Linked DNA regions of Astyanax mexicanus. The protein of the gene in region 1 interacts with the protein of each later gene in a pairwise test. Links are inferred from orthologs where the notes say so. Each region holds a gene or a part of one and is shown on either strand. Other genes may lie near its edges.

The links.
Region 2: the proteins of eef1g (region 1) and get4 interact in a two-hybrid assay, tested with the Homo sapiens proteins (2 studies listed by BioGRID and IntAct, with this or other methods). The link is inferred for Astyanax mexicanus from reciprocal best matches to the Homo sapiens genes EEF1G and GET4.

The regions. Positions count from the first base shown.
Region 1 is NC_064417.1:39,784,544-39,788,471, reverse strand, and holds the start of eef1g (elongation factor 1-gamma), read right to left. Parts: upstream 2,426-3,928; 5' UTR 2,340-2,425; coding exon 2,328-2,339; intron 811-2,327; coding exon 652-810; intron 559-651; coding exon 495-558; intron 1-494. UniProt on the Homo sapiens protein: Probably plays a role in anchoring the complex to other cellular components.
Region 2 is NC_064422.1:21,153,194-21,157,121, reverse strand, and holds the start of get4 (Golgi to ER traffic protein 4 homolog), read right to left. Parts: upstream 2,637-3,928; 5' UTR 2,586-2,636; coding exon 2,452-2,585; intron 2,222-2,451; exon of another isoform or gene 1,962-2,221; intron 1,822-1,961; coding exon 1,743-1,821; intron 1-1,742. UniProt on the Homo sapiens protein: As part of a cytosolic protein quality control complex, the BAG6/BAT3 complex, maintains misfolded and hydrophobic patches-containing proteins in a soluble state and participates in their proper delivery to the endoplasmic reticulum or alternatively can promote their sorting to the proteasome where they undergo degradation.

The DNA.
Region 1 (3,928 bases):
TTCCCTGCCAAAATTCTGTTTGCAGGCATGTGTCATGCAGAAGAATGAGCAGAACAGAATATCCTCAGATAACATATTTATATTTATTTGTGTACAAATAAGAGTTAAATCTACAGTTGCAGCAGATATAACAATCCCCAGTTTATACGTTTACATCCATACGGCAGTGTATCGTGCCTGCAAGTAAAAAAAAAAAAAAAAAGTCTGATTTCAGTTTTTTTTTTTTTTTTTTAACTCGGATTTGTTTTAAGGCTAAGGACAACTTGCATCAACATCCTGCAATTGTGCCAAAAATGTGTACCGCCTAAAAAAAAAATTCACACTGCAGATAAACTGGACCATGGCTCAGTAGATCCAGACAGAATTTTGCAGCCCCTATTGCATCTGCTTTTTTGGTTTGAACCAAACTAAAGAGCCCATTCCAAACAAGGCAAGTGTAAAAGCACCACTGCACTAGTGAAATACTCATAACTGTCCACAAAAGAGATGCTTACAGTAGTGAGCAATGGCGTTGCTCTCGAACAGACAGAAGCCATCATCACCCTGGTAAGCTGGAACCTAAAAAGGAGACAAGAACGAACATCAGTGAAGAAAATGAGAACTCATTTGCACAGAGGATGAGCCAATGAAATGTAAAGAGTATTTACCAACCTTGCCCAAGGGAAAATTGTTGAGGAAGGCAGGGGAGCGGTTCGTCTGCCCAAAGGTGAAGGCAGGGGGGGAACTCGCCACCTTCAGACGAGCCCCGCTGTACTGGGCTGCAATTTGAGCCTTGTAGGCCCTCCAGTTCTCTGCGTATGTGTAGAGAGTCTATGGAGAGATAAAAAAATAAATAAAAAAAAAAGGATTTTAGTTTAGTAAAATTAGTGTCTGTTTCTTAAAAAAAAAAACACTTGATATAAATCCTGCTTGCAATCCTCATCTGCGATGCAATAATAATGCTAATCTATCTAAAAGAGCGGTTACAGAAAAATAACTATTCTACTCCATCAAGGCCTCAATCGTGCAAATCATGATGCAGCATTTTCCAGTAAGGTCAATACAATATACAGCTCTGGTAAAAAATAAGATACCACTTCAGTTTTTGGATCAGTGTTTGCTATTTATAGGAATATGTTTGAGTACATTGTTGCTTTATTCTATAAACTACGAACAACATTTCTTCCAAATTCAAAAAAATATATACTGTCATTTAGAGCACTTATTTGCAGAAAAAGAGAAATGTCTGAAATATCAAAAAAGATGCAGAGCTTTCAGACCTCAAATAATGCATAGAAAACAAGCTCATACACATACAGTTGTAAGAGTGAAATACAGTTGTAAGAGTGAAATAACACTGTTTTTTAATTCACATTTTTAATCTTGGCATGGTCTCCTCCACTAGTCTTGCACACTGCTTTTGGTTAAAAATTCAGTTTTGCTTGGTTTGATGGCTTGTGATCATCCATCTTCCTCTTGATTATATTCCAGAGCTTTTCAATTTGTTAAAATCAACGAAACGCATCATGTTTAAGTGGTCCCTTATTTATTACCAGAGCTGTATTAGAACTGTTAGTTGCTGAGAATTATCAGTTTCAGACATTTAGCTTATGCCAACAATGGCAAAGACTAGTCAATTTGTGCCACAAAAAGAACCACATAAATGAGAAATTAGTTTAATAATGAATAATGTAATACAATGAAACAGCACAGCTACACAGCATCCTGATAGCACATACATAACATGTTTATTCAGAATTGATTCAACCATGGTTTAAAACAATAATTTATAATTTGATCAACTATTTAAGGTGTGAAAATGCTAAATAAAGGGGACCTATAGCTTAGCTAGCTTAGTATATATGGGGGAGATGAGCTAGTGGATGATGACTGGGTGAACCCCCTGTTTTAACCAGCCTAACTTACCGGTACCTACATAACGCTAGTCAGCCTCCGAACAGCTGCCTCTACTGAAACACAGACACTTCACCTACAAATTATCAGCATAAACAGTTTTTATTAGACCTAAACGGCTCTGAAACGGTGTTATGCCGCTAAACGCAGCCGGCACGCGGCTCCGCTGCACCGGAACATAAAACGTGGCACAGCTGAGCGGCTCATTGCTGCTCCCACTTTCTCCCAGCTGCTCATTCAAAATACAGGCTGAAGCTGCGGGAGAAATAACGCTTTATAACGTAAATAAACAGCCTTGAGGCTCCAATACAGCCCAGAGAAGCTGACCGGTTACGAATCAACAGGCTAGCGCCGAGGATGGCTAAGATTCAAGCAGGATTGCAGGCAGAGACGCGGCGTGACGCTAAAAACAGCTTTCCTTCCATCTTACTCACCCCTGCCGCCATCTTTAGGACGAGAGAAAGAAGGAGCGGAGGCGCGCGCTGCTGTCGTATACCGGGGGCACGTCGCAGAAATACTGCGACACGCAGCTCGAGCGGAGGGGTGTGTTCAGGTACAGCCACTGCACCAGCCTTTAGCTAGCCTGTATTTATTCTTTATTTACTAATAAGAGAAATAATAGATGCATATATTAGATATATAACTCAAAATGTTTATTTAGCCTGTGTTCAGTCTTTATTTATTAATAAAAGAGAAACAGTAGGTGCATATACAGCTCCGGAAAAAAAATAAGAGACAACTTCAGTTTCTGAATCCGTTTCTCTGATTTTGCTATTTATAGGTTTATGTTTAAGTTAAATCAACATTTTTTGTTTTATTCTAAAAATTAAAGACAACATTTTCCCCAAATTCCAAATAAAATATTGTCATTTAGAGCCTATATTTGCAGAAAATGAGAAATGGCTTCAATAAAAAAGATGCAGAGCTTTCAGACCTTAAATAATGCAAAGAAAACAAGTTCATATTCATAAAGTTCATATTTATAGAGTTCAGAAATCTATATTTGTTGTAAATTTAATTACAGTTTTCAGGCATATTGGCATGTTCTCCTCCTCCAGTCTTACACACTGCTTTTGGATAACCTTATGCCACTCCTGGTGCAAAAATTCAAGCAGTTCAGTTTGGTTTGATGGCTTGTGGTGATTCATCTTCCTCTTAATTATATTCCACATGTTTTCAATTTGGTAAAATCAAAGAAAATCATAATTTCAAGTGGTCCCTTATTTTTTTCCCAGAGCTGTATTAGATATAAATGCAAAAAGATTATTTAGCCTTGGTTAAGTTTATTTATTAATAAAGAGGAAACAATCGGTGCATATATTAGATATATAAATACACGTTTATTTAGCTTGTGCTCAGTCTTACTAATAAAAAAGAAACAACAGGTACATATATAAGATATATTACTAACTATAAACTTTAGTGGACGTCAATGTAAAATCATTTATTTCAGGTCATTTTGGAGAATCTATTTAATAGTTAGACACACACTGTAAGGGACAATGTGTGTCAATTATGTTAGTAAACTAAAATTGCCAAAAAAGGAGTTGACGTTATGGTATCATCAATATAATGAAAGAACGGCATTAACAAAAAGCAATTATACTTCATTAATAAGGATGTGCAATAATCATATGATACGCGTTTACTTTTTCTGACATCATAGTATTGACTGTATGAAACAGTCATATTTTTTTTTTTTTACAAACAGTATTGTGTGTTGAATTACATGCTGAGAATTCCCACTTACAGCCAGTGAGTTAGCATGAGCACAGACTTTCAATGTCCCAAAAAGAACCAAATAAATAAGAATTAAGTTTAATAATGATGAAACTACATGTTTTACAATATTATACAGTATATGATTCAATCCCAATATATTTATGCACTGCTCCACATGACCCCCACCTCCTTCTGCCTTATCATAAAAAATGCCAATAGCTGATGGCTGCAAATCCCTTAAAACCACATAAATCAACTCAATACATAATTGTTCTCTTTCCCACATTTGCTTTAGCCTGGTTGTTACAGCTTT
Region 2 (3,928 bases), on another chromosome or scaffold:
TGTTAGCTCCAGTGCTAAACCAAAGAAGCACAATGTGGACACCATATTCCCCCGGGCATACCAGTTATATTTGGAACAACCAGAAATAATTGCAGAATCATTGCGTGTTGCAGAGATATGACCAGCAAATTAGAGAAGCAGCCTTGTGACTGGAAGGTGACCTGTTTGAGTCCCTGAACTGATAGAACCTGACTGGAGTGCCCTTAAGCCTCCTGCTGCAGGCATGTGAACTCACTGTTCCCTAGAGTGTGTGCTCACTAGTATGTGCATGTGTGTGTTCACTGCTTTAAAGCTGAGGACAAATTGTGAAACCTTGTGTGCAGCACTAATGGAGAACTGGCAGTTCTAGTTATAATAATATTCTGAAGAATCTCATCTATTTCATCTATTTATTTATGGCTGGGCAATATGACTAAAAACTGATATGTCTAAATGTTTCAGGATTAACAAAGTATGGTGTTATCAGTTCAGTTACTCGTAACACCATTGATAAAACGTAGTATGTAACATGTCTTATTGATTTTTCTGACTGATTAAAACAAAAAAATATCACACAAGTGATTAACAAACTGTCTATTGCGCTTTAAAACACCAGGAAGTGAGGCACACCAGGTCACTGCTCTCTAGAATAGTCTGCTACTCTTTGCTACACATGACAAGTAGTTACATTTCTGGGGAGGTGCATGTCAGGCTGTGTGTAGTGTACGCAGTAACGCTTATAATATGCGTGAGCTATGGTGTACACTCGGTGCAGTAGGAGAAATTGGCCTTAAGCTTTTAATAATGGGTATTTAAATGTATATTTAAGAATCAGTGCTTGATTGGAAAAATTGAATTATATTTATTTCAGTGGTATCAATCACAGTGTCTCAGGTAGGGCTGCAATGATTAGTCGTCATAATAGACAATGTGAATCATAAACTTTTAGTGAAGACTAATTGTTTGTAAAAGCAATGCACTTTACAAATTGCTGGGGACAGAAATTTAATGACACAGCTCACAGGTTTTACAGAGACAGGATGACATTCACAGACTTGAGCAGGTAAGGTAAAATGTGCATTGGAACAGGAGCTGTGCTTTAGAAAGCAGTGATGAAGAAATGGCAGATGCAGTCATTAAATAATTGACTAAACAAAAAAATAAACAAATAAAAGTTACATAAAAATCAGATTAGTCTGATACCAAAATAATCATTAGCTGCAGACCTAGTCTCAATAGTCCATTATGCATGTCTGGCTCTCCATTTTTAGCTAGGCTACTCATTCATTCCTTTTTATTGTGTAATCATTAGCTATTTCCTTTTTTATCCTTTTGCTGTAATGCATTTTGCAATCCAGGGTGGATCAAAAGAGACATCAGTTTTGAGTCTTGATTTCTCAAGCTTTCTTTGTCTTGATTTTAGTCAGTTTTTTTCTGGCTTGTTTATTTGGGAGTTAGACTTCAATCTCTGTGAAGCTGCTTTGTGAGAATTGTGAGAATCAGAACAACTACATCAGTGGTTCACACTGTATTATTAACAGCATCAGTGCTGATTGTATTATTTGGTATGCTGCCTTAAAATGCCTTGTGAGCCACACCTGCTCTCTACCTGAGTAAACTTGTTTATTTTTAAAAGGAGCCATTGATCTGAAAATGGTCAGTCAATGTAAGGTAAAAATGCACACTGAGTGAAAACAGGAGGTAGAGAGTTGGTTAACATGGTGGAGCTGTGGTGCTGGTTAGTGTGGAATACGGTAGTGTACCTGGTTGTAGCTGAAGAACAACAGGGCTCCGTTGTACATCAGCTCTCGGGCCTCTGCATGCTTCGCCTGGGCCATGTACCTACAGACAGCAAAGGGGGGACATTTAAATAGCCATTTAGGAACACTGACAACTAATTAAACTAATATAACCTCTAAAAACGTCTCATAAACTTTTAACTACGTGGTGTGACTCGTTTTGTTAATAATAAACCATCCTACCTAAGCTAACTAGCTCTGTTAGCTGAAGTATTCTGACAGTGAATGGAATCAAATGGGCTGAACTGACACTGCCAGAGCTGTGACTAGCTATCTTAGCCAGATAGGCTAACAGCTGTGCTTCACTGAAGCCCATTTCTGTTCATATTTGAGGCTTTTATGGCTCATTAAAGGCAAAACAGTGCAGCGTGTTGGTAAATCACCAAACTGAGCCGAAGAGTAATTATTTAAACCCCAAACTCTTCAGTTTTAAGTGCGTATCGTTTCGTTAGCAACCATGCTAGCTACAGCTAACAGCCTGCCAGCGTTTTTTTTTGCGAGATTGACGTCTCAACGGGCCAATCAGACACAAGAATCAGTCCCAGGGGTGGGGCAAAGTACAGCCGTTAACCAATAGGAGAAAAGATACGGGTACCGCTTCGCTGACAGCGAGAAAGATCTGGAAATGCGGGCGCCGGGCCGCAGCGATGCAGCGCTTAACTCCAACACCCACCTGAAGAACAAGGTGCGGTACATCTGGTGGGCTTCATAATAGTCTCCCCGCTCTACGCTGGCCCGGAGCTTGCCCTCCACCCGCTGCACTCCGCCGCGATTTCGGCCCTTCGCGCTGTCCTGCTCCGACATCATCCTCCCCGCAAAACGCGCGACCGCTACACCAGCACTGACCCCGCCGGCTCGCCGTACACAGCGGACCTTGATAAACAAAGAAACGCGAACAACCCCTACACAGCTTTCCACTGTCTAATAAATACTAAATAAATGATTATAATTTCAGAAATTAAAATCCGAATTTAAATAAAATTAAATAAAATTTTTATCATTCAAATTTCAGTTTTTAGTAATTACGTTCACATTGTGCTCTGTGAAATCACCTCCCACCACCAGATGGCAGCATGCGCCGCCGCTTCAAGGCCAGTGACTTACACACATATCAAAATTACAGATAATAAAATTAAAAAGCACATTATTAAAGTGTCTTTTGCATTCAAAAAATATATATAAACAAGTCCATATTAAAATTACAGAGCCTTAAACTAATAAAACATATTGTTACAGTTCATTTTGCATTCAAAATGTATACTAAGTAATAAATACATTTTCTTAAAGTGCTTTTTCATTCACAATATCTAAAAATTAAAACCAAAAATGATAAAGTCTACAATATAAAATTGCACAGTCTAAAATGAAAAAAAAAAATCACATTCCTAAAGTGCCTTTATATGCGAAATATATAATAAAGTAAACAACATTGTAAGGAGCGTAAATAAAAAAATAAACATTTTTAAAGTGCCTTTTGCTTTCAAAATATGTCAACAAAACAGTGTTTAATATGATACATATTGTATTCATGTATGTGTGTATGATGTGTATTATATCTGTACATTCTCTGGTCTTCAGTTATTAATTTCAGACCACCAGCATGTAGGTACTGCCTAATGTGGCCCTTTTGAGTGACAGCTTTTGAGTGATATTGAAATTTTGAAAATCTGTGGCCACAAATGTGATTTGTCTAAGTGCAGAAGTAATTAACTGTCACTTTTCAGCATGATAATGCCCACCCACACACAGCAAGGGTAAATATATAACAAACACTACACTTTAGTTACAGGAAACATTTTAAACATAAAAAACATAAACATAAACATCCTCTGGTCATTACACTTGATTATACTGTGAGTTACTAAATGGCATTTCGGGACAATGCTCACCCACACACAGCAAGGCTTTACTAGGAATGTGAAGGTGAAGAGTCTCCATTCAGTTTTTCCTAATAATCATATAATTTCGTTCTAATACTTTCTGTACAAAAAAGACAATATTATTTAAAATTCTGTTGTTTTGACTCTGATAAAAATCTGTAAGAATGAAGATCAAAGACAAATTAATGTTTTGTAATTATATTAGGATTTAAATTGCAGACATATGAAATTCAAAACGCTGTTTGTGGTTCAAACCTAACAGTGCCCGTT